7 linked regions of the Cricetulus griseus genome follow. The protein of the gene in region 3 interacts with the protein of the main gene of each other region in a pairwise test. Links are inferred from orthologs where the notes say so. Each region holds a gene or a part of one and is shown on either strand. Other genes may lie near its edges. The genes, in order: Ccdc68, Imp3, Tfip11, Ccdc151, Krt20, Ccnd3 and Sh2d4a.

Region 1 (4,457 bases), on a different chromosome or scaffold from region 3:
TTTTAAAAAACTTTCTTTGATATCTTTTTATTGTATGTGTTTGTATGTGCCTATGTGTATATATAGCACATGTATACAGATGCCTGGGAAGTCCAGAAGATCGTGTCAGATTCCCTGAAACTGACGTTGTAGGTGGTTGTGAGCTGCTAATGTAAGATTTGCTGGAAACCAAATCTATATCCTCCTCAGAGCAGCAGGAGGGAGCTCTTATAACATTGAGCCCCAGACTCAATCTGTAGAAGACTTAGTTACAAGGATTCCTGAGTATTGAAGCCTCCAGTCTGTAATGTTCTGCATTAAACTTTTTAACCTGGTGTTCTTAGCTGAGGTTGAGGATTCTTTTAGATCCATTCCTTCATAAGCAGTTACAAATGCTGCATTTTCTAAGTCTATCAATTCCTTTGAGTTTATTAGCTGATATACCATAAAACCTTTCTATTATTAACTACTTAGTTACTGAAAAATACAGTTAATGTATTAATGATGTGACATGTGCTTGCTATGTCTTTTTCTTTCTTCTGTCTTTGTCCCATGTCCATCCAGTTGTTGGCTCAGCAGCTTTTGGGGGGGTGGGAGGGAAGATAAATGAAGACCATGGCAATAGTTAGGTTTCACCTGTTATAAGTTCAAGGATTTAGGATTTTTGATATTATTCAGTTCATCACAATCATTTATGATGGTTTCTATATTTTATTCAAACAGTATTTGATCACCTGACATGCTTAGTTTTATGAGCTTTGTGTCCTCAACCTGAATCACTCAAGAAGCTCTAGCTTCTCCATAGGAGGATATGGTATCTAGACTACATACAACCTGTCCACCAGGAACATGACTGTGTATAGTGATCAGAATCCCAATCACTGTGTCTGTTCACTACTCCTTCCCTCTTGTGTGGTTGTGTTCATGTTCTCATTTGTGTGTGTTTGTATGTGTGTATATGTTCCTGTGTGTGTACATGTATGTATGTATGTGTGTGTGTTCCTGTATGTGTGTGTGTGTGTGTGTGTGTGTGTGTGTGTGTGTGTGTGTATGTCTGTAGTCAGAATTTCACTCTGGAACCCAGGCTGGTCTGAAACTTACTTTGTCAAAGCTGTGAGTTGATATTTCTCTTCATTCATATTAGCCACCTTTTTTTTGAAAAAAAAATAAGAAAATGGAATATTATATATTCATTCTGTCCATGTTGTTTTTTAATTGAATCATACATTGTAAATGATATCCCACAGTGGCAATCTACTTACCAATATTACTCAACTGCATTTGGATTTCTTCCAAATTTTCTTTCCATTAGAGGATATTTTGATAAACAGCGTTTATCAAGGTTCTATAGGATCCACACACACAGTTTGATTATGACTGTATTTCTAGTTCCATGGACATTTATTGAGCACTTACAGTATGGTATAGCATAAAGTGAATAAAACAGGGCCCTGCTCAAGAGATTTTGCAGACTAAGATGATACTAATCATTTGATACTAAAGCTTTGATTGTGGCAAAACTCCTTTATGTTGTGTTGCTGAGCTGATGATTTATGTTTTCCAAAGGCCAGAACTCACAATGACAACTGTAACAGTGACTACAGAAGTCTCTCCAAGAGGTAAGACAGAAGGTGACTCTGTCTTGTATGGATCTTCGTCAGCTCACATTATTGAAGAAACCGAGTATGTGAAAAAGGTATGAGGGCATCAGACATCATATCATGGTATTTTTATGATGAGCACCAGTATGGATCAGTGGGCTTTGTGTCCTCATCCATGCAATGCCTAGAAAGGGGTGAACTTCACTTGGCTTAGGACAGCTGACAGCTTCTATTTAAACATGGCTAGTCATTTCTTCTTTACAATATAAACCTGTGTCTACATGGGAAGCAAAATGATTTTCTCCACTCAGTGGAACTGAGTAATGGCCAGGACGGTTCAGTACACCTATCAGCATTTAATTCACACCCCACCACTCGCTGCTGGATTTCCTGCTGTTTTATGACCTCCCCTGGTGGTTTCCTGAATGTGGATGCTGTGCTCCCAAGTGGATGTTTATGTTTCCCGCTGATTCTAGCTCCCTCTCTTCACCTGGTTCCTAAGTGCTAGCTAGTGCCAGTGACATCTCTGCAAGTGATGTCATTAATAATGTAACTTATGAGAAATCCACCAGGAAAAGAGCTAAGAAAGGATACTCACATAAACTGTTATAATGGATAGAAAAATTCTGACACTGAGAGTTTATAAACTTGTTCAGATCAGCTAATTAAATTACCTTGAGCTGTCTAATAATTCAACAGGTTAGCAAGATTGGAACTCAAACTTCATGCATAAATTTGTATGATCCTTTCTTAGGGTTTTTCTGTAGTAATTTTATAGTAATTACTATGTAGTAATCATTTTGTAGTAATTACTATGTAGTAATTATTTTGTAGTGATTACTAAGTAGTAATTGTCTTTTAGTATTACTAAACACTAAATTAGTACTAAATTATAGATAAAAGTGAACAAAATGCACAGTTTTTAAGTACTAATTACTAAATTATTTTGTAGTATATATAATTTAATTTGGTTTGTCATATTTTAGGTTTATCTGAAAAAGAGATATAAAACAAAACACTTATTTTCATCAACCTAAATGATATTAACTTAAATATAATTTTGGTTGGAGGCTAATCTTTAAATGTGACATCAGGATATATATGTAAATAAAGTGCTCTGTAGCTGGTATACAGAAAGAAAAATGCATCTGGAATTAAATGTCTTATAAAAATTAATAAATATTTTCTTACAGATTCGAACTACCCTGGAAAAGGTCCGAAACCACATGTTTAAAGATGAAGAAGAACATGGCAATGAAAATTACCTACTAGATGCAGAGGTAATACATGCACCAAGATTCATTCCTTGCCTTCTTTCAGAAAATTAACATGAAGCCATATAGATTTCTTATTCAATCAACGTTTCTGCCCACTGTTACTCATTGAAGCTGAGCGATAAAATATTTCATGAATGTCTAACATCTAAAGATATATCTATGACATGTTTACTAGGGATGTCATTAGAAGAATCAGATCAGAATGGAACATTGAAAACAGAACATAATTATAAAGTAGATGGGAAGACACCAGACCAAGGGGAACACACAGTAGCAATACCTTTCAGAGACAAAGTTTGCAAGTGTGCTAGGTGGGACACAGCAACTGATGGGTTTGAATTGAGTGATGGGTTTGCTGATCAATATGCTTAATCACCTTTCCCTAATTTCAGTAGCATCTTCATGTACTTAAAGTCTCTTTTAGCTCAAATTGTACCAAATTAAGTACCAATAGAGCCAAGAGCACCTATCCCATTAGCGTTACTGACTATAAACCATGGTCACACATCATACGAGAAGGTAGTATGTGCTACATAAATACAGTCTCCTTATGTCACCCTCAACTTCCCATATAACATGACTAGTGCTAGAGATTTTCTTAATTGCTCCAAAGTTGGGGAAAAAAGAGATTATATTGAGGTGTGGCAGAGAAGAATATATTAAAAATCATTTTTGGCCTTGTGGAGTTTACTTCTAGAATTCCATTGGTGGTTAGACATGATCCTAGATTTGAGAGTACAGATCTGGATTAGACGGACTCAGTTACATTTGACAGGCTATTGTGTTGGTAAAGTCCTGAAACTAGAGCTGGGTTTGGCACTTGAGCAGGAGGACAAGAGACCTGCTTGATTGAAACAGCAAAACTGTATCTCCAGAATAAATAATAAAATGCAATACTTTTGAAAGTGGAGAGGATTGGAAAGCAATACATAGAGAATACATAGAGATGACAGATGATCTAAAGGCATAGTGATGAATTTCCCAAAGCTTGGGTCTTTGGAACAAGAACCATCATGGAGGTTGAAATGGATAGGAGAGAATTAGGAGGAAAAGCCATAGAGTGTAGAATCCCTGAGGGCAGGTAGAAAGAGTAACTGTCCAGTGTTGTCCATGGGCCATGTAAACTGAGAACTGGCCAATGGAGACTGGAAACATTGAAATGGATTTTTTGCTGACTGTCCCGCGCCCGCTCTGTATTCCTCGCCAGCAAGAAATACACGCAGGACACTCGGATCCTTCTGCAGACAAGCTTTAATGCATTAGACTGAACAGAGACTGAGCAGAGACTTAGCAGAGACTGAGCAGAGACTTAGCAGAGACTGAGCAGAGACTTAGCAGAGACTGAGCAGAGACTTAGCAGAGACTGAGCAGAGACTTAGCAGAGACTGAGCAGAGACTGAGCAGAGACTTAGCAGAGACATTAAACCAAGAAAACCATTCCTATATAAAGGCTGACCAGCCGCCTGGGACGTATTACCCTATGAATGGCTTCAGCTCCTCAGGCAAAAATGAGCCACGGGATAGGCAGAGATCAAAGGAATGGAGATTACCCAGCGCCTGTGAAGTAATTCACACCTTGGTGTCTTCAGGCAGCATTATA
Region 2 (3,269 bases), about 76 Mb from region 3:
AGGCAGAGGCAGGTGAGTCTCTGTGAGTTCCAGGCCAGCCTGGTTTACAGAGTGAGTTCCAGGACAGGCTCCAAAACAATACAGAGAAACCCTGTCTCGAAAAGTAGGAAAAATATATATATATAGAATTAAAAATAACACCTCTCAAAAAACCCAATATGTAATATGCTGGGTTCTGTATTCTAATTTGTCTGTGCTAAAAATTGATGTTCTCTTGACAAATTCTATCACTTTATTTTTTTGCTGTTGTTTTTTGCCTGGTTTTTGGAGTAGGGGTTCTTAACAATGAACCCATGACCTTGCACATAAGACTAAACACACATTTTTCCACTCCTAAGAACAGCTGTTTTCAGGAACCTCCTGGGTCACTTCTAACCACGAGCTGGCCAAGCTACAGAGTGATCATTTCCTTAGGCAAGCAAAGACTCCGGGCCTTTAATTTGGTATTTCCTGGGGCTGGAGTATCAACAGGAAGTCTTGTGGATAAAAGCTCTGCCAAAACATTCATTCCGAGAAAAGGACTGGTAAAGTGATAAATCTGCCCAGCTTATACAACATCCTGCAGCCTCCACGTGAGGCTCCTGCGGCAGACCTCACGCCTACAATCCTATTCCGATTCTTTCTTAGGGTTAGAAACCTCGGCAAGGGTATCATCAGACAAAAATTTGCACTTAACAAGGTGGTCGGGACATTTATTGGCATAAGGAAAAGGTTTCTTTAAAGGAGGGAGTGAACACTTAACATTCCCGTAGCCCCGTTTCATATATAAAAACAAAACAACAAAAACACCTGAACCCAAATCTGTAGCAGTCAATCCTAGCTCAAGATGATAAAGCCAAGGAGAAAGGGGGTAACGTCCTTGCTTCTACACCACAAAGTGACGACCTAACAATCGCCAGTGCAGTACAAAACTGCTTCCCACTGACTCGCAAAAAAAAAAAAAAAAAAGACAGTCATTTAATTATCAGTCCAAATTCTAATAAAAAGTCCCAGAACTCAGGGGCTATTCTCCCCATGCCGGGCTCAGTGACCTGTAGTTGTGAAGCCTCGGGGAGAAGGCTCGCTAGGCATCCAGATCAAAGTCATCGCGCTCCTCGTTGTACTCCAGCACGTGCCGCTTGATCTTGGACGAGTCCACCCAAGTGACAAAGTCCTCCATGCTGCGAGTGACGAGAAAGGCGGGATCGGTGACCACGTCTGGGCCCACGCGGACGTGACCCTGCTCCACAAAGGCCACGGCAGCCTGAAGGTGCTGAGCCATGCGTAGCTTGAGGAGCAAAGTAGGCAGGCGGCGGCGGCAGAAGGAGGAGGCTGAGACCGAGTCGCAGAGCTCTAGTGAGCCGCGCGTGGGTACCAGGCCGAGCGCGTACAGCTTGTCCAACAGCGCCGCCGAGGCGCGCACACGGAAGGGGTCGCGTTCCGGCAGGTCGCGCAGGCGCCGCGCCAGTTCCCGCACCGCTCGGCTCAGCTGGTTATAGCGCGTGTACTCCTCCCGCCGCTGGAGCCCGTACCGCCGCAGCACGCGCAGCTCGTGAAGGTTGTGGTCGGTGACCTCCCAGTTTAGGAAGTCCACCTGCTTCAGCAGCTTCTGCTCGTGGAACTTAAGCTTCCGCACCATGATGGAGACTGCCAGAGAAAGCGGAGAGCACGCTGAGAAAGCAGCACAACTTCCGCCTCCGCGCCGGAAGACCCCGCCGCCCAGACCCCTGGGCCAATAGAAAGAAAGCTACGACCACGCCCCCGTATTTCATTGGTCAGACTTAAGAGCTTCCTGTTTGGAGAGGCCAGCGGGAGGTCGGAAGGGCGTGTCCTGCGAAGACAGCGTGAGCGTCTTAACCGCCTGGGGGGAAGTCGTATAGCCTAGTGCTTCAGAAATTTTGTTAGATTTCTTGTCTTTGGTGACCCTGAAGAGAGTTCCCCTCAAGAGCTGGAGACGTCAGTTTCGGGAGAGAGGAGTAACGGCTAAAAGATGTAGTTAGAACCGTGCGAATTTCTTCGCTCCAGTGGTTTCTAGAGCTGGCGAATAGTCCCACCCCGGTCAGCAACAGGTCTGTCACTGGACTGGGGAAAGGGATTCTCCTTGCCAAGCAGTACTGAGCAGCACTAAACCTATGGCATGCCGGTTTCCTGGCCGATTACTAGACTCACGTAATCAGAGTGGGAAACACCCTGACATCTGGCTTTTACTTTTTTGAGACATCGTGTCTTCCCTAGGTAGCCACGAATTCGCCGTAATCCAACCCGCCTGTCTCCCAAAATGCTGAGTTTACGACCATGAGCCACTACGGTCGTCTTTTTTATTTTGTTTGTTTGTTTGTTTTTCGAGACAGGGTTTCTCTGTGTAGCTTTGGAGCCTATCCTGGCACTCGCTCTGGAGACCAGGCTGGCCTCGAACTCACAGAGATCCGCCTACCTCTGCCTTCCGAGTGCTGGGATAAAGACCGACGCCCGGCACGGTCGTCTTTTTTATTATTTTATTTATTTTTTATTTTATTGAGACAGGGTCTCTCTATGTGGACCTGGCTGTCCTGGTACTCTATGTAGACCAGGCTGGCTGTCCTCGAACCCAGAGCTCCACCTACCTCTACCTCTCGAATGCTGGAATTAAAGGCTTGTTTCTCTACTCCCAGCTCTTATTCTAGAGACAATTCTATGTTACTCAGGTCAGTCTGGAGAGTATGTTTCGGCAGTCCTCAGTGGTTCACAATATGCACCCAATATGAGGAACTCATTAAGTACAATTCAACCCATCGTCTGAAAGAGCTGAAAATATCTTGTCTGGCAAACTCTTGCCCAGAACCCCCGCCCACCCAAGCTCAAGAATATCTTCCAGCACAGTTCCTGTCTGAAATCACAGAAGCAGAACTGAGGTCAGAAAATGTCTACTGAACCCCCACCCTGATAGGCCCTTCCCTCCTTCAAACCCCACCAAACCTCAAGCTCCTCTGATACTGTGGCACACAGTCACCATTTCTGAGGTGAGGTGGTTTTCCCTCGGTCTCTTTATCAAAGGACAGTCTGCTTCTGTTGAGGTCAAAGAGTCCTGCTCTTGTTTCCACATCTGCTCAGATTTAACACCTCCAGTACTGAAACCTGAAAGGAGTTTCATTGGGGTTGTGACAGCCCCTTCCCTGGTCTCTCTTCTCTCATCTTCTCCCTTCCCCTCCTCTCCTCTCCCTCCAAATCCCTGAACTTGCTACCTGCTACCAACTAAACAGTCAATGGATGGACTCCATTTGATGTCTTTCTAGGTGACCAATGGAAATAAG
Region 3 (3,873 bases):
TCTGCTCCAGGAGTTTCAGAAGGAGCTGAGCCAGTGGAGGAAAGACCCCAGCGGGAGCAAGAAGAAGCCCAAGTACTCCTATAAGACTGTGGAGGAGCTGAAAGCCAAGGGCAGGGTCAGCAAGAAGCTCACAGCACCTCAGAAGGAGCTGTCTCAGGTCAAGGTATGAGGACGGCACATTGGTCCCCGTCCATCCTCTGAAGACTTTGATAACTGGTGTGTGTGTGTTTGCCTGTGTGCGCTCCCAAGTGTCCATGTCCCTTTCTCCTTTCTAAGACAGAATCTTGCCATGTGATCAGGCTGGTCTAGAACTCTTAGCCCAGGCTGGCCTCAAATGCTCAGTCCTCCCCAGACCTCCTGACACTGGGATCCTAGGGCATGACCGCTTCGTGGTCCAGTTCTTCTGTTTCTGCCCCTTCGTGGCACAACAGTGGTCAAGGCAAGCGCACAGTGCTCCCACCTGTCTGCAGCTCATGCCCAGTGAGTTCAGTAAAACTCGTGAGTACAGAACATGCCAGGCTCTACCTTCCACTCTGCACACTACAAAGTACCCCATCTCCCCATGCAGATCATTGTGGTGAGCACAGCTCCCAACCCTGGAGCCTCTGCTCAGCCTGCAGCTCCTTTTGGTTTGTTTTGGGTCCTCTGTAGATACCTTTGAGACCCAGGGGAGGGCTCCTGGGAGTGCACAAGCAGATAGGGAATGCTCTGACTGGCTGGGGGCCAAGACAAAGACCCCTCCTTTAAAGACTTCTGACTTGGGGTTCTGATGGCCCACAGGTGTCAGGCTTGTCATGGTTGTGGGTGAAGTGAGTCGTTTGGGACAGCTGGGGTGTGGAGAAAGGCCTCTCTTTCTATGGTGGACTCATGGTGTTACTGTCACTTTCCAAGTGGCTCGACAGCACTGGTGGCAGCTGCCTGTCATGGTTCAGTATGAGGTAGTGTGAGTGTGACAGCTCAAGTCTGTGGTAGGCAGCTCTGCCCACTAGCAAGGCTTTTGACACTTGGCCAGCGTCCTGTCTCCCCTGCTCAGTGGCGGCTAATAGGTGGCAACCTGCCGCTCTTTTCAAGGTGATCGACATGACAGGCCGGGAGCAGAAGGTGTACTACAGTTACAGCCAGATCAGCCACAAGCACAGTGTGCCGGATGAAGGGCTGCCTTTACTGGCACAGCTGCCTCCCACAGCCGGCAAGGAAGCCAAGGTGCCAGGCTTTGCACTGCCCGAGCTGGAGCACAACCTGCAGCTGCTCATTGAGCGCACGGAGCAGGAGATCATCCAGAGTGACCGTCAGCTGCAGTATGAACGGGACATGGTGGTCAGCCTGTCCCACGAGCTCGAGAAGACCGCCGAGGTCCTAGCACACGAGGAGCGTGTCATCTCCAACCTCAGCAAGGTGCTGGCCCTGGTAGAGGAGTGTGAGCGCCGCATGCAGCCTCATGGCACCGACCCCCTCACGCTGGATGAGTGTGCCCACATCTTTGAGACACTGCAGGACAAGTACTATGAGGAGTACCGCCTGGCAGACCGTGCAGACCTGGCTGTGGCCATCGTTTATCCGCTTGTGAAGGACTACTTCAAGGATTGGCACCCTCTTGAGGTGAGCTGGGTGCAGCCTTCAGCTTGGTTAGAGGCCTGGTTGCCGAGTTGGGAAGGCTGATGATGTCAGTGTTCTGCAGGATGGCAGCTATGGCACCCAGATCATCTCCAAGTGGAAGAGCCTCCTGGAGAACGACCAACTTCTGTCTCACAGCAGCCAGGACCTGTCCTCGGACGCCTTCCACAGGTGCCTGGCCCCACCCTGCTATATATCCTCTTGCCTCCCCGGGGAGCAGGAATTCTAAAGGTTGGATGACAGCAGTTTTGGCTGCTATTTGACTCTGCTCCACACTGACACTGCTGTGGTCATTGAAGGCATGCTTGCTCACATGTCTATTGTATGTCCTGAGGGTCCAGGAGCTGGGCCAACCCTGGGAGGACCATGAGCAACTTTCACCTACAGTCAGGAAGGGCAGAGAACCAAGAATGAGGTCTTTGTGGAGCGGGCAGAGGTGTTGGGGGGGGAGGGAGTGGCGGCGGCAGACATTCACCTGTTACCCTGAGTGTTAGGTGCTCTTGGTGGGAAAACACCTCAGGCTGTGTGCTGACACCATTGGCCCCACGTGGTCCTGTAGGAGCTCTGCCAGTGTGTGGCACCACTGAGGAGCCCAAGGCCCCGAGCTAAGACGTCATGGGAGCCCTTTGTGGAGACTGACCTGGAGTTTCCTGTGGAGGGCTGTGGAATGGCCCATTTTGAGGCCAACACTGTGGCTGACCAGCTGCCCTTGCCTCTCACAGGCTCATGTGGGAGGTCTGGATGCCTTTTGTCCGGAATGTTGTCGCCCAGTGGCAGCCCAGGAACTGTGACCCGATGGTGGACTTCCTGGACAGCTGGGCACACATCATCCCTGTGTGGATCCTGGACAATATCCTGGACCAGCTCATCTTCCCCAAGCTGCAGAAGGAGGTAGGGCAGAGCTCCGGCAGTGTCTCTGGTCACCCAAGCCACCAGACTCTTGGGGCTGAAGGGCTTTGTTAATGTCCTACAGTATTTATTCAGCCTTTTCCAAAGTATCCCCTTCCTGCCTCCCTCAAGAGGGAGTTCATTTCCTCAGTACCTTTAGTGAACCTTGAGCTATGCTGAGGTTGGAGTTGGTGGCACGGGTGCATTTGTTTTTTCTCTGTGGAGGGACCTAGAGTACAAACTGCCTGGGAGGCAGCTTAGCAGCTTCTGTGCCTGCCATTTGCCTCCATGGTGGATCTTACCCTCCACATCCACACTGAGGACTGTGGCCCGTGTTCAGGACACACATGCCTCTTTCCTAAGGACAGCACTAGTGTGTCATGAACTGTCCATGGACTACAATGCTCGTCCTTCTCCATTCACCCTGCAGGTGGACAACTGGAACCCCTTGACAGACACCGTTCCCATCCACTCGTGGATCCACCCATGGCTGCCCCTCATGCAGGCACGCCTGGAGCCGCTCTATTCCCCTGTCCGCAGCAAGCTGTCCAGCGCCCTGCAAAAGTGGCACCCCAGTGATGCTTCAGCTAAGCTCATCTTGCAGCCCTGGAAAGAGGTCCTTACCCCTGGATCCTGGGAGGCCTTCATGCTCAGGAACATCGTGCCCAAGCTGGGTAAGGAGACAGGGACAAGTGGGCCATGTGTGGTTTACTTAGTGTTCCACCACAAAAGCGTGCTGCTTATGGCAGAGGTGGAAGTGGAGTGGAACCAGGGCCTTCTGGTGGTCTGTTCACGACTGTGACCATGTTCTGCTCTCACTAAGGTCTGCAGTGGTGACTCTGGGCGCTCTCTGTGCCTTGTGGTTTTTTTTTTCCCTGACGGGGCTAGTTTGGGCCTCAGGTCCAGAAAGCCACTGGCCTCAAAATGCTTGTGATCCTGGGGTGGAAGGAAAGAGCAGACCACAAAATGAAGGGTCTGCTGGATAGCACTTTGTGCTTCCATAGCTTTGCCACTGCAGAAGCTGAGCCAGGGACCATCTCTCTTGCAGGCATGTGTCTGGGTGAACTCGTCATCAACCCCCACCAGCAGCATATGGACGCCTTCTATTGGGTGATGGACTGGGAAGGGATGATCTCTGTCTCAAGCCTGGTGGGGCTGCTGGAGAAGCATTTCTTCCCCAAGTGGCTTCAGGTGTGCTGTGTGGCCCAGGAGGGCAGGGTGGGGTGAGAGCCCAGGGGTCCTCAGTGCGCATTGCTGTCAAGGCATGGTATTGTCTCACCTCAGCTCCTCACCGAACCTGTCTGGGGATGTAGAGATTTAGGTCCAGCACATGTAGGCCACAGGCTGGCTCTAGATTCTAATAATTGCTAG
Region 4 (3,873 bases), about 43 Mb from region 3:
CACACAGTGATGATCTTAGAAACAGAACCTGACAAATAAAACTCCCAGAACAGGCATACCAAAGAAGTCAGCACAGTGAGAGAATGGAAGGAAGTGAGGACTGATGTGGACAGCTCTACCAGAGCCGGAGCTGGGCAGGAGAAGACACCTTTAAGGGAAGAGGAGCCTGCCCCACTCCAGTGCAGGCCCAAGGCACTCACATGTGATTCAGCCACTCCAGTGGCATCCTTGACCTTGTCAAACATCATTTCCATCTGGTACATGCCCCAGCGACGCTTCAGCTCCTCCTCTTTGTGGCGTTGGTGGTCATGGACTGTATCTTCTGACTGAAGCAGTACATGCTCTCTGTGAGTCTGCTTAAGGGTAGAGGACAGTCAAAGCCACCATCAAAGTCAACTCTGGATAAGGGTTTGGGCTGGATGCCAGGAGAGGAGCCGTCTTAGCTTGGATTGTGGGGAACCGGACAAAGTTTTGTGACTAGGTACCATCATCCCTGTGGGAGTCACAGAGGTGGTCTCAGAACCAAGGTACGGAGGCAGAGTTCTAGAAGGAGTGGCCTCCGGAAAGAGTTGGGCTAGAGCCCCAGTCAGTTAGAACACCAGGGTCTGAATTAAATGGAGAAGGTTGGGTAGAGGATCAGACAGTCAGGGCAAGCCTGGAGGCCATGGCCTCAAGCAGGAAAGGAGGCAGAGGAGAGCCTGTGAGGAACCAAGTGCAGTGAGTGGAGACAGGGTTGGGAGGGGGCAGGGTGAGGCCATGTGTGAGGTGTAGGCAGGGCTCTGGGTCAGTGTGGAGGCAAGGCAGAGGCTGAGGCCTGTCTGGTTTGGGCTGCTGAAGCCCTGCACCTTTAGTGTGGGGTTAGGCAGAGGCTGAGGCCTGTCTGGTTTGGGCTACTGAAGCCCTGCACTTTAGTTTGCGCACCTTGCGCTCCATGCGCTCTGTCTGAAGTTTCTTCTCTTCTGCCCGTTTCTTGCAGTCAGTTATGTAGAATTCACGCTTCTTTCGGTCTCGGATTGCAGTCTCCTCCAGATATTGCAACTGGCTCTAGAAGGCAGGCAGGCAGGCAGGGGGCATCTGGTATCTATCCAGGATAGGAATGGAACAGCGGACCCCAGGCAACACAGCAACAGTACCATTGCTGGAGACTTAAAGACAACTGACTTCTGACTATAATTCCCTGAGCCTTTGGTGTTCCAGATGCTATTTTCTCTAAATTGAAACACTCCCTCATAGAGAGAGGGAGATTCAAGACTCAGGAAGTCCACGAAACTTCACAAGGCTCAAGAAACAAGCTTCACAAGGCCCTTCCCCGGTTAACATGGATGCGTGAGAAGACTGATGAGTAGAACTCTAGGGATGGGCTTTCCCATCAGTAACCCTCACCCATGCTCTGCAAGGATGTCAGAAGCCAGCCTTGGCGACCCCCCATGCCTAGCTAGTCGCCAGCTAGTCTAGCATCCCACCCCTCAGATTCCAAGACCTGGCCTGAGAAGCAACTAACACCTATCCCTTCCCCCACTTTCTTAGTTAGTGCCTGAGATAAACACAGGAGATTCCGGATACCTGCCTGAGAGCAATTAACATTCATTCCTCCCCCCACCTCCTTTTTCTCTGCTTCCCCCTTTTTCTTTAAAAGGCCCCTTGGTTTCAATAAACTAAGACCTTGACAAGACAAAAATCGCTTGGTCTCGCTTTTCTTTTCCGCCCATTATTTTCAGGCTTGATCCACTTCGGACCCACGAATTACTAGAGCCCCTCGGGCTGGGGCACACGGAAGCCCAATAAACTCTTTGTTCTCCAAGTTGGGCTCTGGTGGAAAGGTTGATGGTTTTTGTTTTTGTTTAACTTTGTAGCCTTGGCTGGCCTGGAACTTTCTATGTAGACCAGACTGGGCTGAAACTCAGAGATCTGCTTCTACCTCTGAGCACTGGTATTAAAGGCTTGTGTTAACACAGATAACAATGGTAGCTGTGAAGGACTGCCACCCTACTCCACCCTGGGGCAGGAAGACTACTAGTACCTTGGCAATGTCCCGGGCATTCAGGGCCTCTTGATTCACCACTTTCAGCTCTACTACCTCATGTTTGGTCTTCACCACCTCAGCCTCCATGGAGTCCAGTCGGTTCTCCAAGTTGAGACTCTCGTCCTGACACATGGAGAGAGGGAAAGCTTGTGACTGCTGTCCCTGGCCAGGTCTGCCCTCCTCACCTACCTCTCTCTCCAAAATGTCCCTACCTGGAGGTAAGACTTGAGCTGCAGGTACACATTGGTAATGTGCTCTGCTTCCTCTGCCTTCATCCGGGCCTTCTCCAGCCGGTTCTCCAGGTTGCGCATGGTCTAGGGGAACAGCAGGCTGGGCCAGGTTCCTTTCACCACCATCCATGCCTGCCCCAGGACCCCTTCAGCCCTCAGCAAGCCCCACCTTGGCCGCCTCTGTGTTGCCGTCTTGCACCTCTGCCAACTCCAGTTGGTGCATGCTGTGCTGTAGCTTCAGTTCCTGCAGCCGCTTCTGCCGCAGCGTTACCTGATATCGCAAGGCATTCAACTGGTTCACCTTATCCCTCAGCTGGTGTTCCAGGTGCTCCAGGGCCTGCTGCAGGGGAGCAGAGAGCAAAACCTCAGCTTACCCTCCCCAAGGACTTGAGTCCTGGTTCTCCTAGAAGCCTTTGTCTCTCTGGTCTCCTAGCTGGTTTCCAGGACCCTTGGCATCCATTTTCTCTCTCTCTCTCTCTCTCTCTCTCTCTCCTCTCTCTCTCTCTCTCTGTGTGTGTGTGTGTGTGTGTGTGTGTGTGTGCAACAGGATGGCCATGGCTCTGAGCTATAGACCCAGCTCTCTTTCACCTTTTTTTTTTTTTTAAAGCCATGGTTTTATGTAGTCTAGACTGGCTTCAAATTGTGTGTCCATCCAGAGATAAACTTGAATTCCTGATCTTTCTGTCTCCACCTCCTGAGTGTTGGGATCATATTGGTGTACAACTGTACCATATTTAATGAGGCCCTGGAGAGATCAACCAGGGCTTTGGCTTGGTGTGTGTGTGTGTGTGTGTGTGTGTGTGTGTGTGTGTGTGTGTATGTGTGTGTGTGTGTGTGTAAGCACATGAGAGAGAGACAGAGAGACAGAGATAGAGACAGAGACACAGAGAGACAGAGAGAGCAGGTACCCCTATGTACATGGAGGTCAGAGGTCAATGTCTGGGATCTTTGTCTTTTGGTTTCCAGCTTTTTGATTTAGGCATGGTCTCTCACTTAGCCTGAGCTGATTGGATCACTGACTAGCTGTTGAGAGCTCTGGGGACTCTCCTCTCTCAGTCCCCTAGTCCTGGGATGACCTGCCGGCTCAGTTCAGTGACTTCCACCAGCAAGCACTGCCACCTGACATCTTACTTTTTATTTCTTTCACTTGTTGGGTGCATTTCCTAAAGGTCAGGCATGGGATCCCGCTCCAGGAGCGGTGCTTTTTTACTTTTTTCAGTTCGGACTGCTGGGTCCTTTTTCGATTTCGGGACAGCTGTGTCCCCTTCGGGGCCAGGCCCCTGGCAACTCCCACGGGCAGACGTGCATCCGTAGAAGAGCTTATTGCTGGTTTTCTACCTGCCTCACCCATGGGAAATGCATAGAGGAACCTTTCTGGTTTCATCCAACAAGCAGGTAAACAGACAAAAGCGGCTTACGGTTGCCGCCATTTTGGTCATGTGACCTACCTGTAGGCACGCCCAGCTCCAGTGTCCTTTGCCAGCAAACCTGTCTGTCAGCCAGATCTTTTTCTTTTTATTTTATTTTTGTCTTTTTCTTTTTATTTTATTTTTTGTCTATGATTTCTTCTTTCACTGGCTCTGTTATTCATGGCTTGTTTACTAAATACTGTGCCTTTCC
Region 5 (4,636 bases), on a different chromosome or scaffold from region 3:
CACGCACGCACGCACGCACGCACGCACGCACGCACGCACACACGCACACACACATACGCACACACACACACACACACACGCACGCACACTTGCACACACACACACCTATAGTCACTGTGATGTAGGGAACCTACTTCAATCTGAAGTCCTCTGCAGCCAGTTTAGCATTGTCAATTTGCAGGACGCACCGAGCATTTTGAATTTGAGCATCCTTAATCTGGAAAGCATAAGAGAGAGAAAGAATGACATTTTCATCAGGGCTGGAGATAAAAAAGATCTCATTTGTCCTCAGAGACAACTGTAATTACATCAAAAGCGATGTCCGTTTCAAAAGTGTGAGAGTAATTAGGTGCAATAGTGACACAGGTATTGAGGTAATAGTTAAAAACAGGACTCTTGGTCTGACCCACTTTCTTGTTTTTGTACAAAACAGAAGTTGGACTTCATCCATATCCCTGAACCTTATTGAGTGTCTTGTCTGTGGTGATGTTCATGCCTGGAATATTGCCGTTAGCCCTCCTCACCTGGGGAGCTCCTATGCCTTCAGCTCTCAGCTCAGACACCGTGGCTTCAAGGGGGCCTTCAATGATATCCCCCAGTTCTAGCAGGGCCGTGTCCCTGCTTCTGTGGCTCTGTACAGCCTTCCTGCGTTTACCTGAGTGACAGTTGCTTTGGTCCAGGCCTGTCTCCACCTTACACTTTATTTACCCACACATTCTTCTATGTGTGATGCTCAGTACCCAGCTAGTGTCTATGAAACAGTGAGTGAATGACAACTTGCCATCTGGTAGGCATTAGGCATTAGGATGGAAGGATGGACACACCCTGGTTTTCTCTCTCTCTCTCTCTCTCTCTCTCTCTCTCTCTCTCTCTCTGTGTTCATATGTACAGGTATATACATGTGTAGGTCAGAGGACAATCTTCCATGCTATTCCTTAGGTACTGTCCACATTTTTTGGGGGAGGGGCAGGGTCTCTCATTGTCCTGGAACTCATCAAGTAGGTCAGGCTGGCTGACCAGCAAACCCCAGGGATCTTGGGATTACAAGAACACACCATCATTCTCCAATTTTTTTTTTAACCTGGGTTCTGGGGATCGAACTCAGGTTCTTGTACTTGAAAGACAAGCACTGTATTCTTTAAGATGCATGTAGACGGGAAGTCTACTTCTAGAAGACATGAAAATGACACATCTCTTTCAGTAGCTATTCCTGGAGAGAGGTCCCTTGAGAGGCTTCCAGCTAGAAGGTACTAATGGCTGCTCTGAGGTATCATGGGTAATCCCCGAGTCAATTCAGAAGCATCAACCTTGAGAGCAGTGCTGGAGAACAATCATTTTGAATGTGTTTCAGCGAAAGCCTGAAGGAACTCCCTGTTGAGGGTGATGTAACCACCTTAGCTTCCTGAGCTGATTGTTTCTGTGAATCTGAATCAGGCTGCACTGGTACCTATAATACAGCTCCAGCAAAGAGGCCTTCGGGCCAAGTCAATGGCCTTTGCTCTAAAGGGGTAATCATTTTAAATATACGCAAACCAGAAAGGGACACTTTCCTTGATTAGATAAGAATGCTGAAGCAAAGCAAATGGTGTGCTGTGCTTGACCTTGTCAGCCCGGAGCAAAGTCTCCCACTTCTAGTCCACTGGGTTTATAAAGAGAGAGAGAGAGAGAGAGAGAGAGAACCCCACCTATCTTGGATGACACAGGAACAGATTGTGATATGATTGTAATAAATTTGAATTGGGGGCAATAGAACATTTTATTATTGCTGAAGTGCTTTATAAAATGCTTGATGATGGTCAGCAGAAACTTAAACAGGACATTAAAAAATCCACTTAGCGAAACTGAGCATGGTGGCTAATCCCAGTGCTGAGGAGGTAGAGGCAGGAGAGCGGTGAGGTGCAGACTAGCCTGGGATATACAGGGAGATCTTGTATTCAAAAGCTGTTCCTTCCATCCACCCTACCACCCATCATCTACCCATCTGTCAGTCAATACAGACACTATAATATCTGTAGTCTGTCTGCACTCTGAACCCTTGTAATATTTATACCCATAGCAGGATGACACTTGAATTGTAACATTTATATGGATGAAAAGAGAAAAATCTCTTTAAATTGATCTGAGTCTTCAAAGTTGGTGAAGACTAGTGGGAAACTCACATAGAAACCCTTGGAGTTCTTTTAAAAATAAGATTATTCTCCATGAAGACCTGACATTGGAAGCCACGACAAAGACACAGGCTGTAATTTTGGATGATAAGATCATCACATTTTATATGTAATTAGGTGGGTTAAACGCATCCTGTTTACACTAATGCCACATGATAAAATAGATTTTTCAGCTATAAAGTTCAACCTAATTTGCTTCACGTGTTTGAATTCGCCTAGCATACACTCACAACCCCCCCCCCCTTAATCTAGTATACTACTAAACAGTAATGTCGAAAACACAGGTCCATGACTTACCTGATTTTGCAGCTCTTTGATTTGTGCATAGTAGGGACTGTAGTCCCGGATGGTGCTAGGCGCATTGGTTTCATACCACTGCTTGATCTGGACTTCAAGTCTGGAGTTGGATTGCTCCAGGGACCGCACTTTTTCTAGGTAGCTTGCCAAGCGGTCATTGAGGTTCTGCATTGTTAGTTTCTCATTGCCAGCAAACAGGTCCCCTCCACTGGAGAGATCACTCGCATAGCTCACTACAGATTTGGAGACAGAGATGCGAGTGCCGTGGCCTCCAGCCCCACCATAGACACTGGGTGCAGCCACCAGGCGCTGGGCGCTCCCCTTCCTGTACATGGAGCTACTCATGCTAAGTGCTGGGCCTTGTGAGGAGGAACTCAGACTTCTGTGAAAACTTCGACGACTGAAATCCATCTGGGATCCTGGGAGGCAGCACCTGTAGCCTGGAGTTGGAGCACAGCCTGTCTGTCTCTGGTGCTGGAGAGCTGACCTTTTATAGAGTTCAGGAGAGACACTCCTCCTCTGCTGCCTTGTCACCTCAGGAATGACACAGTCCACTTTGCTACCTCCCCCTCTTTTGTACAGCAATATGTTTCATCCTATTCCAGAAATGACCACTAGAGACACTTTATTAAGGCTTTTCTAGTGTGTGTGTGTGTGTGTGTGTGTGTGTGTGTGTGTGTGTGCGCGCGCGCGCTGGGCGGGGGGAGGAGGGAGTGGTGATTTCTTTTTAATGAACACAAGTATCAAAAAGAATGAGGAAGGGGTGTTCTTTCAGATCTTGCACCTGCCCTGGCAGGTTTTTTTTTCATCCCCGTGTACAAATAAAGAATATTTACAATCTATATGAATAATTCAGGCTTTGAACAAGACAGCTGTGGGAACACAATGGTAAGTCATACTGGTGAGAACAGACAAAGGCTTGTTCCAATGACGAGCTGCTTTTCAGAACCTCTGTTTTATGCTCTTTTTTTTTTTAAATTTGCTTTTGAGTTTATCCTTGTTTAGAACTTATATTTTTAGTCTGTTGAAATATCTTGTATGAGGCTGGGTGTCCTGGTGCACACCTGTAATTCTAGCAATTGGGAAGCAGAGACAGGAGGATTACTGCAAGTTTGACACCAGCCTGCTACATGGGCACGTGAGTACACACACACACACACACACACACACACACACACACACACACACACACACACACACACGGAGTTTGAGAACTGAATGTGGTGAATAAGTAAATGAGTATAGGTGTTGATTTTGGAGTTGAAAATACTTTCAATAGTAGTTTTAGGAAATTTCATATATGTATATAATGTATCTTGATAACATCTACCCTGACTTCGCTCTCCAACTGCCCCAGAAGCCCCCAACACATTTCCCATCCAACTTATGCTCTCCCCTCTTTTTAAAAATAACTCATGAATCTAATTAGTGCTGCCTGTGTACTTATGGGTGTACTGGGGTGTGGGAGGTGGCCACACCTCCAAAGAAAATCCAACTCTCTTCTTGACTTCCAGCAACTCTCAGCTTCCAGGAACTCCTAGACTAGGGCAGGAGCCTTGAGAGCCCCTCAGTGTATTCTTTTTCCTTTCTTAAAACAAAAACAAACTCAGCCGGGCGTTGGTGGCTCACACCTTTAATCCCAGCACTCGGGAGGCAGAGGCAGGTGGATCTCTGTGAGTTCAAGACCAGCCTGGTCTACAAGAGCTTGTTCCAGGACAGCCTCCAAAGCCACAGAGAAACCTGTCTCAAAAAAACAAAACAAAACAAACAACAAAAAACCAAAAAACAAAACCAAAAAACAAAAACAAACTCTATTATGGAAACCTTGCAAATATCTTTTAAATACGTGTGTCTAATGGTTGAAAAAATGTTTTTAAAAATTTAAATCACCAAGAAACCAGTTTTTATACCTGCCTCCTGTTTGAGGCCAACTAGATACCACCTTGAGATGCTCTCTGCTTCTACCATCCTGACCCTGTCAGAGCTGCCTCCAGGATTCCTGATGGATTCCAACAGCAGAAGCTTGTTCCTCTTTGTGGATTCCTACATTCAGTGGTTCCCTGAGAAGGAAGGTTGCAGGTGGCCACAGGGACTCACACCTAACTTCCCAGAGGCTACTGATAAAAGAGGGAAATTGTTATGAACCTTGGCCACTCGATCTATTGATTTGT
Region 6 (4,300 bases), on a different chromosome or scaffold from region 3:
ATCCTCCTGTTTCCACCTCCCAAGTGCTGGTCTTACAGGTGTAGGACAACATTCCAGGTTCTACAGTGCTGGTTATTGAACCCTGAGCTTTGAGCATGCTAAACAGGCACTCTACCAACTGGATATATATCCTCAGCTTCTCTCTCTCTCTCTCTCTCTCTCTCTCTCTCTCTCTCTCTCTCTCTCTCTCTCTTTTCTCTCCCTCTCTGTCTGTCTGTCTCTCTCTTGCCCCCCCCCCCTCCCCTGCCCCATGGGTTGGGGAACTCATTCTGTAGACCAGGCTGGCCTGGAACTCAGAGATCTGCCTGCCTCTGTCTCTTTAGTGCTGGGATTAAAGGCGTGCACCATCACCGTGGGGCTTTTAATATGCTGATTTCGACAAACACCACCTATACTTAAGTTGTTCCACGAATCTGGAAACAGTGCAGTGTCCCGTTCAGCGGACCCTGAGAAACTGCATTTGTTCATTTGCTTTTTCATTTTTATAATTTGTGTGTGTGCGTGCGCGTGCATACCGGGTGGTGTGTGGTGTGGTGGTATGTTACAGCGTTAGTGTGGAAGTCAGAGGACACCTTATGGGAGTTGATTCTTTTCTTCCACCGTGTGGGTCACAGGGATCACACTCAGGTTGTCAGCCTTGGTGACATGACCCTTTCTTTACCTTCCTGCTCAGCTGCCAGATGGTGCTGCAGCAAGTCTGTGGAATTCATTTAAGTAGACAAAATTCTGGAGCCGGGTTTCCCTGGACTGACAGTGAGGTCTCTTCAACTACCACTGTGCTTCAGTTTGGTGGTCTGCAAAATAAAGACCTGGAATGCACCTTGAGGTAGGAGCGACCCAGATATGCAGCTATTAACATTCCCTGGAGCAGTGAAGTAGGGTGCAAACGTGAATGAATGGATAACTTTGGGCGAGTAATTCTTTCCTGGGTGGCTAGAGTCAAGACGGCCCATTGATGGGGAAGAGGGCACCCTCCCAGAAAGTTCTCTCCACCGTCTTGGTCAGGAGGGCCCCGAGGGCCCGGAAGCCTGCAGAAGCCGGCGCCCCGCGGACCAATGGGCTGCGGGGAAGGAGGGGATTACGCCCGCCAGCCCTTTCCGTCTGCGGCCCCGCCCCCTTGGAACGTTGTGACGTCGGAGCATTCCACGGTTGCTACATCGTCGCGAGGGGCGGGGCGCCTGTCAGGGAAGCGGTGCGCGCGGGTGGCGGGCGGGCTGGGGCTTCTCCGTACAGTGCCAGCGCCAGCGCCAGACCCGCCCGCACCCCGCGCTCTCCCTCGTGCGCGTCGCGTCTCCAAGGACTCGCCAGCCCGCACTCCTGCTCTCGCCCGTGAGCCGCCTCAGGATGGAGCTGCTGTGTTGCGAGGGCACCCGGCACGCGCCCCGGGCCGGGCCCGACCCGAGGCTGCTGGGGGACCAGCGTGTCCTGCAGAGCTTGCTCCGCCTGGAGGAGCGCTACGTGCCGCGAGCCTCCTACTTCCAGTGCGTGCAAAAGGAGATCAAGCCGCACATGCGGAAGATGCTGGCGTACTGGATGCTGGAGGTAAGGCCCGGACCGGTCCCCTCTCCTCACCCTACCCCCACCTCCGGCTCTGGGCAAATCCAAGTTGCCCTGTCGGGGCATCATGAATCGGACCACAGTCTTCAAGATGCTTTGGCGGCCCCGACTTGAGGGGCCTGGCCTTTTCACACAGGCATCCACCCTAGCCAGCTGCCTGCGTTCTGTCCCCTTCCTTTCCCCAATCCCGATCGGCTTCTTCTGAGACTGCCAGTCACTTGGCACTGTAACTAAACTTCACTTCAGGTCGGGAAAGCGGGCTAAGGGCCACTATTTCCCCTCTGGCTTCTCTCGGTGTCTCCTGCTTCCTTCCTCGCCTGTAGTTCTCCGAGAGCGTGCTTGGAAAAGTCTGGGGCTCGACCGACCGCCTTAGCCCTAGAACTGGTTCCTGTGTCTGTCGCGGGGTTCTGGCGGGGGAAGCTGGTGGGGGTGGCGCGCGCTCGGTTCCGGTCCACAGGGAAATGAAAAGTGCGGGAGACCGCGGCAGGAGTTCCCTCCCTTCCCCTTGGGAGTGTGTGTGCAGTGGGTGGTGGTAATGAGGGTAAGGTCCCAATTCTCTCTAGGCGACCCTTCCGTCCCCCTTCCGCTCGCCGTGGGGGAGGGGAGTCTGGAATCCCTCGTGAGCAAGGGCTTCTCTCCTTTACACCCCCACCACTCAGGGGTGGGGAGGAGGCCAGGCAAAGGAAGTGGGGGGGTCACCTTGGGGAGGGCGCATCCTCCTCGGTTATTGATTCTTGTCACTGTAAGTTTATCCCGTCTCTGTTTATTTTTTGCTCCACATTCCACTCTCCCTCCACCCCCCATGCTGCTGCGTTTCACTTGGTCCTTCCCTAGCAATGACTCGTGCGCCATCCCTCAGGTGTGTGAGGAGCAGCGCTGCGAGGAGGATGTCTTCCCTCTGGCCATGAACTACCTGGATCGCTACCTGTCTTGCGTCCCCACCCGAAAGGCGCAATTGCAGCTCCTCGGTACTGTTTGCCTGTTGCTGGCCTCTAAGCTGCGCGAAACCACGCCCCTGACTATTGAGAAGCTTTGCATCTATACGGACCAAGCTGTGGCTCCTTGGCAGTTGCGGGTGCGTGTGGAATCCCCCTCTGTGGCGCCCCCCCCCCCGCTCTCAAATACTGTCGCCCTATGTACTAGAAAAGAGAACTCCAAGCTCAGTCCCTCACTCACCAACCCTCCCCTCGCCCTAGGCCAGTATTTTGGAAAAGAACTGGGGTGGGACAAAGGCCATGTAGTGTGGTAGTTGTGCTTTAGTTGCAGGCTTAAAACCAAATGAACCCCCTTCCTCTGACCATAGTGGGGTTACCCCAGATAGCAACCAGTCCAGTTGCTGGTCTATACACCAGTACTTTGCCTCTGGGTTTACACAGCCACCATGAGTTATTTATTGGCAGCAGCAGGGCATGTCTGCACACCCCCACCGGAGTGGAATGTGCTTCACGTGGGGGAGGGGGCTGCCTTGCATGAGTCTTTATCCCCGTGTGGACTTTGTGATGGAAAAGCCTCCCAGAGCTGATTAAAGCCAGGCCCTGATTGCTGGAAGGAAGTGCTGAGGTGTTTTCATCCCTTTCCCTTCTATTCCCAAAGACAGAGCCCCTTCCCTACCCACCCTTCCTTGTCTTCTGAAAAAACGAGAGCAGCTGCCCTGGGCCGGTGGAAGGGTTTCTCCCTTTGCCTCTTAGCCAAAGGCCGAAGAGACAGGGAGCCGAGCTGCAGCTGCTTCGATGTGATAATGATGCTGGTCCCCTTGCCCTCCCACTCAGACCAAGGGCTTTCATAACCCTGTGGGGAGCTGCTGTCACTCCTGTGGTTTGGGAAGTGGCTCCTTGGGGTCTCTTGCTGGGAACATGGGCTGGGCTCCTCCAGGCGGGGCAAAAATCGGTTGGGTTTTGCCCTGCCCCGAGGAGTCTAGGGAGGAGGTGGAGGAACTGCTTGAATCTGGAATAGAGCTTGAACATCATCTCCCACAGGGTCTGGGGGAGAGGGTGGGTGAGCTGGCACCTCCCTCCACCTTATTCTGTGGCTAGCCAAGCCTTCCCTGACCCTGAAAGGAGTCTCTGGGCCCCATCTCCTAGGGAGGAGGGCAGCAGGCAGGCTAATGTGATTGGCTGGCTGGGAAGCTAGGGTACTGGGGCCCCTGACTGCCTTGAGTCGGGGAACTGGATTCCTCTCCCTGTCAAGCAGCTGATGGGAGGCCTGAGTTGGGAATCAGGGAGGCCCCACAGCTCTTTGTGATGAATCTGGTAGTTTCCACAGCCAGGGAGCAAGATGTTTTCGAGGGATTGAGGCAGGGAGGTAGGAGACTTCCTCTTTGTGCAGAGATTAGGGTGGTCTACATTAGTGTGTGTGTGAGGGGAGGTTTTCAGAATAGGCAAGCCTTCTCCTAGAGGCCTGCGCTGAGTGGCCTGCGGTCAGAGCTGTAAGGGACCTCTAAGAACTCCAGCAGTCTAAACCCTTGCATCGCAGGGCCCGAGAAAGGAGGGGAAATTCCAACTGTATGGCACTGACCAGAACGCCTTAAAGCCAGGGATGAGCAGTATGCAGCCAACCATGGTGTTCGGGAGGTGGGGCTGGGATTCTCATGTTGTCTGGATATCGGGGAGGGTGGCCACCTTCCCTCAGTGAGGACCCCACACAGTCTGGTTGCCTCTTGCTTCCTTGGAGGCTGGATGCTGTTGGTTACCAGGGCAAGCCTCTGTGCCTTACTTCTGGCTCTGGCCCAGGCTTTTTCTGTAGG
Region 7 (3,873 bases), on a different chromosome or scaffold from region 3:
GAAGAGAATAAGCAAACAGGCAGCATGAGACATAGCCCTCAAGGACACTCCTCCAGTTGCTTCCTCCAGCTGGGCTCTACCTCCCAAAGTTTTATAATCTCCCCAAGTGACTCCAGCATCCAGGAACAAAGCATTTGAGACATGAACTGGGGTATGTGGGTGGGGAGGAAGAGGCTATTTCATATCTCAGCTATGGTGAATGTTTATGGTAGACATGAATCAGCAACCTTTCTAAGAGGCACAGCAATAGAGCTGGGGTCTCTGGGAGAGATGCCTTGGGTTGCTTTCCTTTTGGGTGCCGTTTCCCATCTTGGTAGAGGGATCTATCAGCACTTTCCTAACTCCAGTGCTTGATACATGCTCTCATGCGGGGCTTTGTGGTATAGGACCGGGGTCTTCATCTTCCCCAACAGTGATGGGCAAAGAACAGGTAGGAGAAGTGTTGGTGGGTTGACCTTGGCTTGGGGGGAATTCAAATTCCTCCCCCTATTAAAGATCTATTTAGAGATTTTTTTCTTAACTTTGTGCTCTGGGTGACTTAATGAGCTAAAACTTCACTAGCAATTAGAAGGGCTATGAAAACCATTTGATTTTCACCAGGAAGTGTTCTGTTTGTTTCCTTAATAACCAGAACATGAACATCAGCGCAGAGTGAGAGTGGAGGAGGAGGAACCAGGAGCTCCTCTCTGCTGCAAAGCAGAGTGAACTTGAAAAGAACATTGCTCCTCCCTCCCAAATCAGAGCCCACGGGGTGACTCAGCAAGCTGTGCTGTTGATTATTTTCTGTATGTTTACTATGCTGTCTATTCATTTCAAGAATTACAATAGAACTAAGAAGGGAACTTTCGAACGTTGAGTCAAACTCTATGAACCAAGAAATGAGACTGGGAATTCAAGAGACATCTTAATTATACCTCTCATAAAGCCATATATATATATATATATATATATATTATATATATATATATATATATATATATATATGCACTCATGCTGGGCTTTGTGGTATAGGACCGGGTTTTATTCTTCCCCAACAGTGATGGGCAAAGAGCAGGCAGGAGAAGTGTTGGTGGGTTGACCTTGGCTTGGGACATAAGTAAGTTAAGCTCTAGCCTCTCAAAGACCAGTGGATACATACATTGAAGACTAGTTTTATTAGAATTCAGGAGACCTTGTACTGGTATCCAGCACTCAGTAGATCTATCTTCTGGTTCTGTCACTAACTTGCAGGGCTTCCTAGACCAGGCTGTTTCAACTTTAGCACCGTTGATGCTTTGTGCTGGATAATTTTTACAGTACTTGACTGTTTTGTGTATGTTCAGTAGCACCCCTTGCCTCTACCCCATGAATACAAGTACCACCCACACCCACAACAACTGCACCAGTTACTTCTTACATCACTGTGAACACATCGGACAGTAAGAACATAAGACAGAGAAGATTTATTTGATTCCATGGCAAAGAAACACTGGCAGTGGGAACAAGGGGAAGGTTCTTCACATCATTGCAGACCAGGAAACACTTCACATCATATTGGATCAGGAAGTGGAGAAAAGAGAATTCTAGCCCTCAACTAGCCTTCTTTCTCCTCTTTTCCATCTCATCTACTAGCCAATGGGATGATGTTACCCACATTCAAGGTGGGTCTCTCCCCTTCAGTTCATTCTCTGTGCAAACCACATTAATTTCACAACACATGTGATTTGTCTCCTTTGTGAGCTACTGTTTTAGAGCAAGTCATGTCACTTCCCAGACCTGAGTCCTCACTGACCGACAGTGGTGGCCCTATAAGAGCATCTGAAGTTCATTCGGATCTGACCAATTACCCTCAAGATAATATACCAGATTGTCATAAGTGGTAGACAGCTTGTGTCAATGCAAATGGGTCTCTAAGTGAAACTATTTGTAAATACAGTTCTTTTACTATGTGTCCTAGTTTGCTTCTCTGTTGCTATGATTAAAACACTGACCAAAAGCAACTTGGGGAAGAAAGGGCTTATTCCAGCTTGGAACTCCCAAATTTCAACACATCAAGGGAAGGCAAGCAGGAACTTATGGCAGGAATCTGGAAGCAGAAACTGAAGCAGGAGCCAAGGAGCAATGCTGCTTACTGGCTTGCTCAGTTTGGTTCTGTATACAACTCAGGACTACCTGCCAGGGGTGGCACCACCCAAAGAGGCCTGGACCCTCCTGCATCAATCATTACTCAAGAAAATGTCCCCACAGACCAGCTTGATGGCAGATATTCTTCAACTGAGAGGTCCTTCTTCCAATGTGACCCTATCTTGTGTCAAGCTGACAAACTCTCTGTTTTGCGTTTGTCTAGTTATCAAATACCAAGGGGATTGTTTGTTTGTTTGTTTGTTTTACTGATTCCCAAGGACCGCAAAATACACATGGAACAGCTCTGCCTGTCACCAAACTCTATTCATACAGTGAGGGGCAACACAGGAATGGCTTACAGGTACTTTGCTAAAATGACTTTTCTTTCCCCCTTCCCACAGGGATTCTCACACTAAAGAAAGCAAATGACCTTCTGAGCACAGGTGTGCCAGGAAGTTTTCTGATCCGAGTCAGTGAAAAGATCAAGGGCTATGCCCTGTCCTACCTGTCTGAGGAGGGCTGCAAACATTTCCTCATAGACGCATCTGCCGACTCTTACAGCTTCCTGGGTGTGGACCAGCTGCAGCATGCCACCCTGGCAGATTTGGTGGAATATCACAAGGTGAAGCCACTCATATGCTTAATTTGTCTTGGGAATTATTGTCCTATAGATATATAACAAAGAGGGGCATGGCTAGGGATATTGCTCAAAAGCAAGCAATGGGAGGGGCAGCATATAATTCCCCCTGTCCTTTATCACATCCTCCTGACACACTCAGAGATATCCCACTGGATCTGAGAATACTGGAGATGCACATACTGGTCACATGTGTGAATGGTCCCATGCTAGAACTTGGACTCTAGCAGGAAAGGGAAGCTGCCAGAAGGAAATTGCTATTAAGGTTGTCAAAAGCCAACATATGTTTGCACAAGCCTAGAGTAAAGGGGTGATATCCTGAGGAGGTAGAAGGGCATCTACCACACAGCTGCTACATGACCCTGTGCTTTGATTGACAGGAAGAGCCCATAACCTCCCTGGGGAAGGAACTCCTGCTGTACCCCTGTGGTCAACAAGACAAGCTACCAGACTACCTGGAGCTCTTTGAGTAACAGCTCTAGTCAAGATCAGCCTTCAGCCAGGTTTTCCTCTGGACAGACACCTCGGAGGTGGACAGTTGCCTGTGATGCCAAAATCACTCTGTGACAGAGCCAACAGTGAAGAATGCCTTTGAGGTTAATTGAAACCTTGATTCTGCATAAAAGCTGGAGTTCAAGTCAAGGGGATACATCCTCTCCCCATCCTCATTCTGAAAGGAAAAGGGAGAAGTGTACTCATTTCAGTAACATCCTAATATGAAGAATAGGACCTTGAAGGATATGACCATCATGTTGTATATAAGATAAAATAACAAGGCTAACTTGAAATGTATTTTTAGCAGTTAATATGTTACTCTAAAAAAAAAGTGAACTGTTTTGTGATCTACGTGCTCCCTCTTTTGTATTCAGTCAAAGGTCTCAGCGCCTACTTCCATGAACTTCTATCTTGGCTTTAGAATGCTGGAAAAAGCATCCTCTCTTGGGGCTGAGAGTATCCTCAAAAGACAACCATTTTTGTATGTATTGGAGCCAGGATTCAGGAGACAGAAAAGCAAGTCCCAATTGGGAATTGAAAGAGAAGTTTTAACACCTGGTATGTGAGACTTACCATGCACAAAACAACAACAATAAAAAATAACACACACGGCATCAGTAGGGAACCACATTTTATAG

What was found.
Region 1: the proteins of Tfip11 (region 3) and Ccdc68 interact in binary tests that used the Homo sapiens proteins (3 or more experiments, as listed by UniProt). The two-hybrid records come from large-scale screens. The link is inferred for Cricetulus griseus from reciprocal best matches to the Homo sapiens genes TFIP11 and CCDC68.
Region 2: the proteins of Tfip11 (region 3) and Imp3 interact in binary tests that used the Homo sapiens proteins (3 or more experiments, as listed by UniProt). The two-hybrid records come from large-scale screens. The link is inferred for Cricetulus griseus from reciprocal best matches to the Homo sapiens genes TFIP11 and IMP3.
Region 4: the proteins of Tfip11 (region 3) and Ccdc151 interact in binary tests that used the Homo sapiens proteins (3 or more experiments, as listed by UniProt). The two-hybrid records come from large-scale screens. The link is inferred for Cricetulus griseus from reciprocal best matches to the Homo sapiens genes TFIP11 and ODAD3.
Region 5: the proteins of Tfip11 (region 3) and Krt20 interact in binary tests that used the Homo sapiens proteins (3 or more experiments, as listed by UniProt). The two-hybrid records come from large-scale screens. The link is inferred for Cricetulus griseus from reciprocal best matches to the Homo sapiens genes TFIP11 and KRT20.
Region 6: the proteins of Tfip11 (region 3) and Ccnd3 interact in binary tests that used the Homo sapiens proteins (3 or more experiments, as listed by UniProt). The two-hybrid records come from large-scale screens. The link is inferred for Cricetulus griseus from reciprocal best matches to the Homo sapiens genes TFIP11 and CCND3.
Region 7: the proteins of Tfip11 (region 3) and Sh2d4a interact in binary tests that used the Homo sapiens proteins (3 or more experiments, as listed by UniProt). The two-hybrid records come from large-scale screens. The link is inferred for Cricetulus griseus from reciprocal best matches to the Homo sapiens genes TFIP11 and SH2D4A.

What each region holds. Positions count from the first base shown.
Region 1 is NC_048595.1:169,538,023-169,542,479, reverse strand, and holds the start of Ccdc68 (coiled-coil domain-containing protein 68), read left to right. Parts: upstream 1-1,558; coding exon 1,559-1,675; intron 1,676-2,773; coding exon 2,774-2,860; intron 2,861-4,457. UniProt on the Homo sapiens protein: Centriolar protein required for centriole subdistal appendage assembly and microtubule anchoring in interphase cells. Together with CCDC120, cooperate with subdistal appendage components ODF2, NIN and CEP170 for hierarchical subdistal appendage assembly.
Region 2 is NC_048597.1:168,459,523-168,462,791, reverse strand, and holds Imp3 (U3 small nucleolar ribonucleoprotein protein IMP3), read right to left. Parts: upstream 1,671-3,269; 5' UTR 1,619-1,670; coding exon 1,064-1,618; 3' UTR 665-1,063; downstream 1-664. UniProt on the Homo sapiens protein: Component of the 60-80S U3 small nucleolar ribonucleoprotein (U3 snoRNP). Required for the early cleavages during pre-18S ribosomal RNA processing. Part of the small subunit (SSU) processome, first precursor of the small eukaryotic ribosomal subunit.
Region 3 is NC_048597.1:92,007,449-92,011,321, forward strand, and holds part of Tfip11 (tuftelin-interacting protein 11), read left to right. Parts: intron 1-10; coding exon 11-163; intron 164-1,071; coding exon 1,072-1,599; intron 1,600-1,678; coding exon 1,679-1,785; intron 1,786-2,336; coding exon 2,337-2,505; intron 2,506-2,932; coding exon 2,933-3,176; intron 3,177-3,550; coding exon 3,551-3,693; intron 3,694-3,873. UniProt on the Homo sapiens protein: Involved in pre-mRNA splicing, specifically in spliceosome disassembly during late-stage splicing events. Intron turnover seems to proceed through reactions in two lariat-intron associated complexes termed Intron Large (IL) and Intron Small (IS).
Region 4 is NC_048597.1:134,886,860-134,890,732, forward strand, and holds part of Ccdc151 (coiled-coil domain-containing protein 151), read right to left. Parts: intron 2,594-3,873; coding exon 2,423-2,593; intron 2,338-2,422; coding exon 2,236-2,337; intron 2,147-2,235; coding exon 2,021-2,146; intron 1,045-2,020; coding exon 922-1,044; intron 354-921; coding exon 201-353; intron 1-200. UniProt on the Homo sapiens protein: Component of the outer dynein arm-docking complex (ODA-DC) that mediates outer dynein arms (ODA) binding onto the doublet microtubule. Involved in mediating assembly of both ODAs and their axonemal docking complex onto ciliary microtubules.
Region 5 is NC_048600.1:113,147,264-113,151,899, reverse strand, and holds the start of Krt20 (keratin, type I cytoskeletal 20), read right to left. Parts: upstream 2,877-4,636; coding exon 2,466-2,876; intron 218-2,465; coding exon 135-217; intron 1-134. UniProt on the Homo sapiens protein: Plays a significant role in maintaining keratin filament organization in intestinal epithelia. When phosphorylated, plays a role in the secretion of mucin in the small intestine.
Region 6 is NW_023276806.1:256,941,075-256,945,374, forward strand, and holds the start of Ccnd3 (G1/S-specific cyclin-D3), read left to right. Parts: upstream 1-1,156; 5' UTR 1,157-1,344; coding exon 1,345-1,542; intron 1,543-2,416; coding exon 2,417-2,632; intron 2,633-4,300. UniProt on the Homo sapiens protein: Regulatory component of the cyclin D3-CDK4 (DC) complex that phosphorylates and inhibits members of the retinoblastoma (RB) protein family including RB1 and regulates the cell-cycle during G(1)/S transition.
Region 7 is NW_023276806.1:245,098,708-245,102,580, forward strand, and holds part of Sh2d4a (SH2 domain-containing protein 4A), read left to right. Parts: intron 1-2,504; coding exon 2,505-2,725; intron 2,726-3,120; coding exon 3,121-3,213; 3' UTR 3,214-3,873. UniProt on the Homo sapiens protein: Inhibits estrogen-induced cell proliferation by competing with PLCG for binding to ESR1, blocking the effect of estrogen on PLCG and repressing estrogen-induced proliferation. May play a role in T-cell development and function.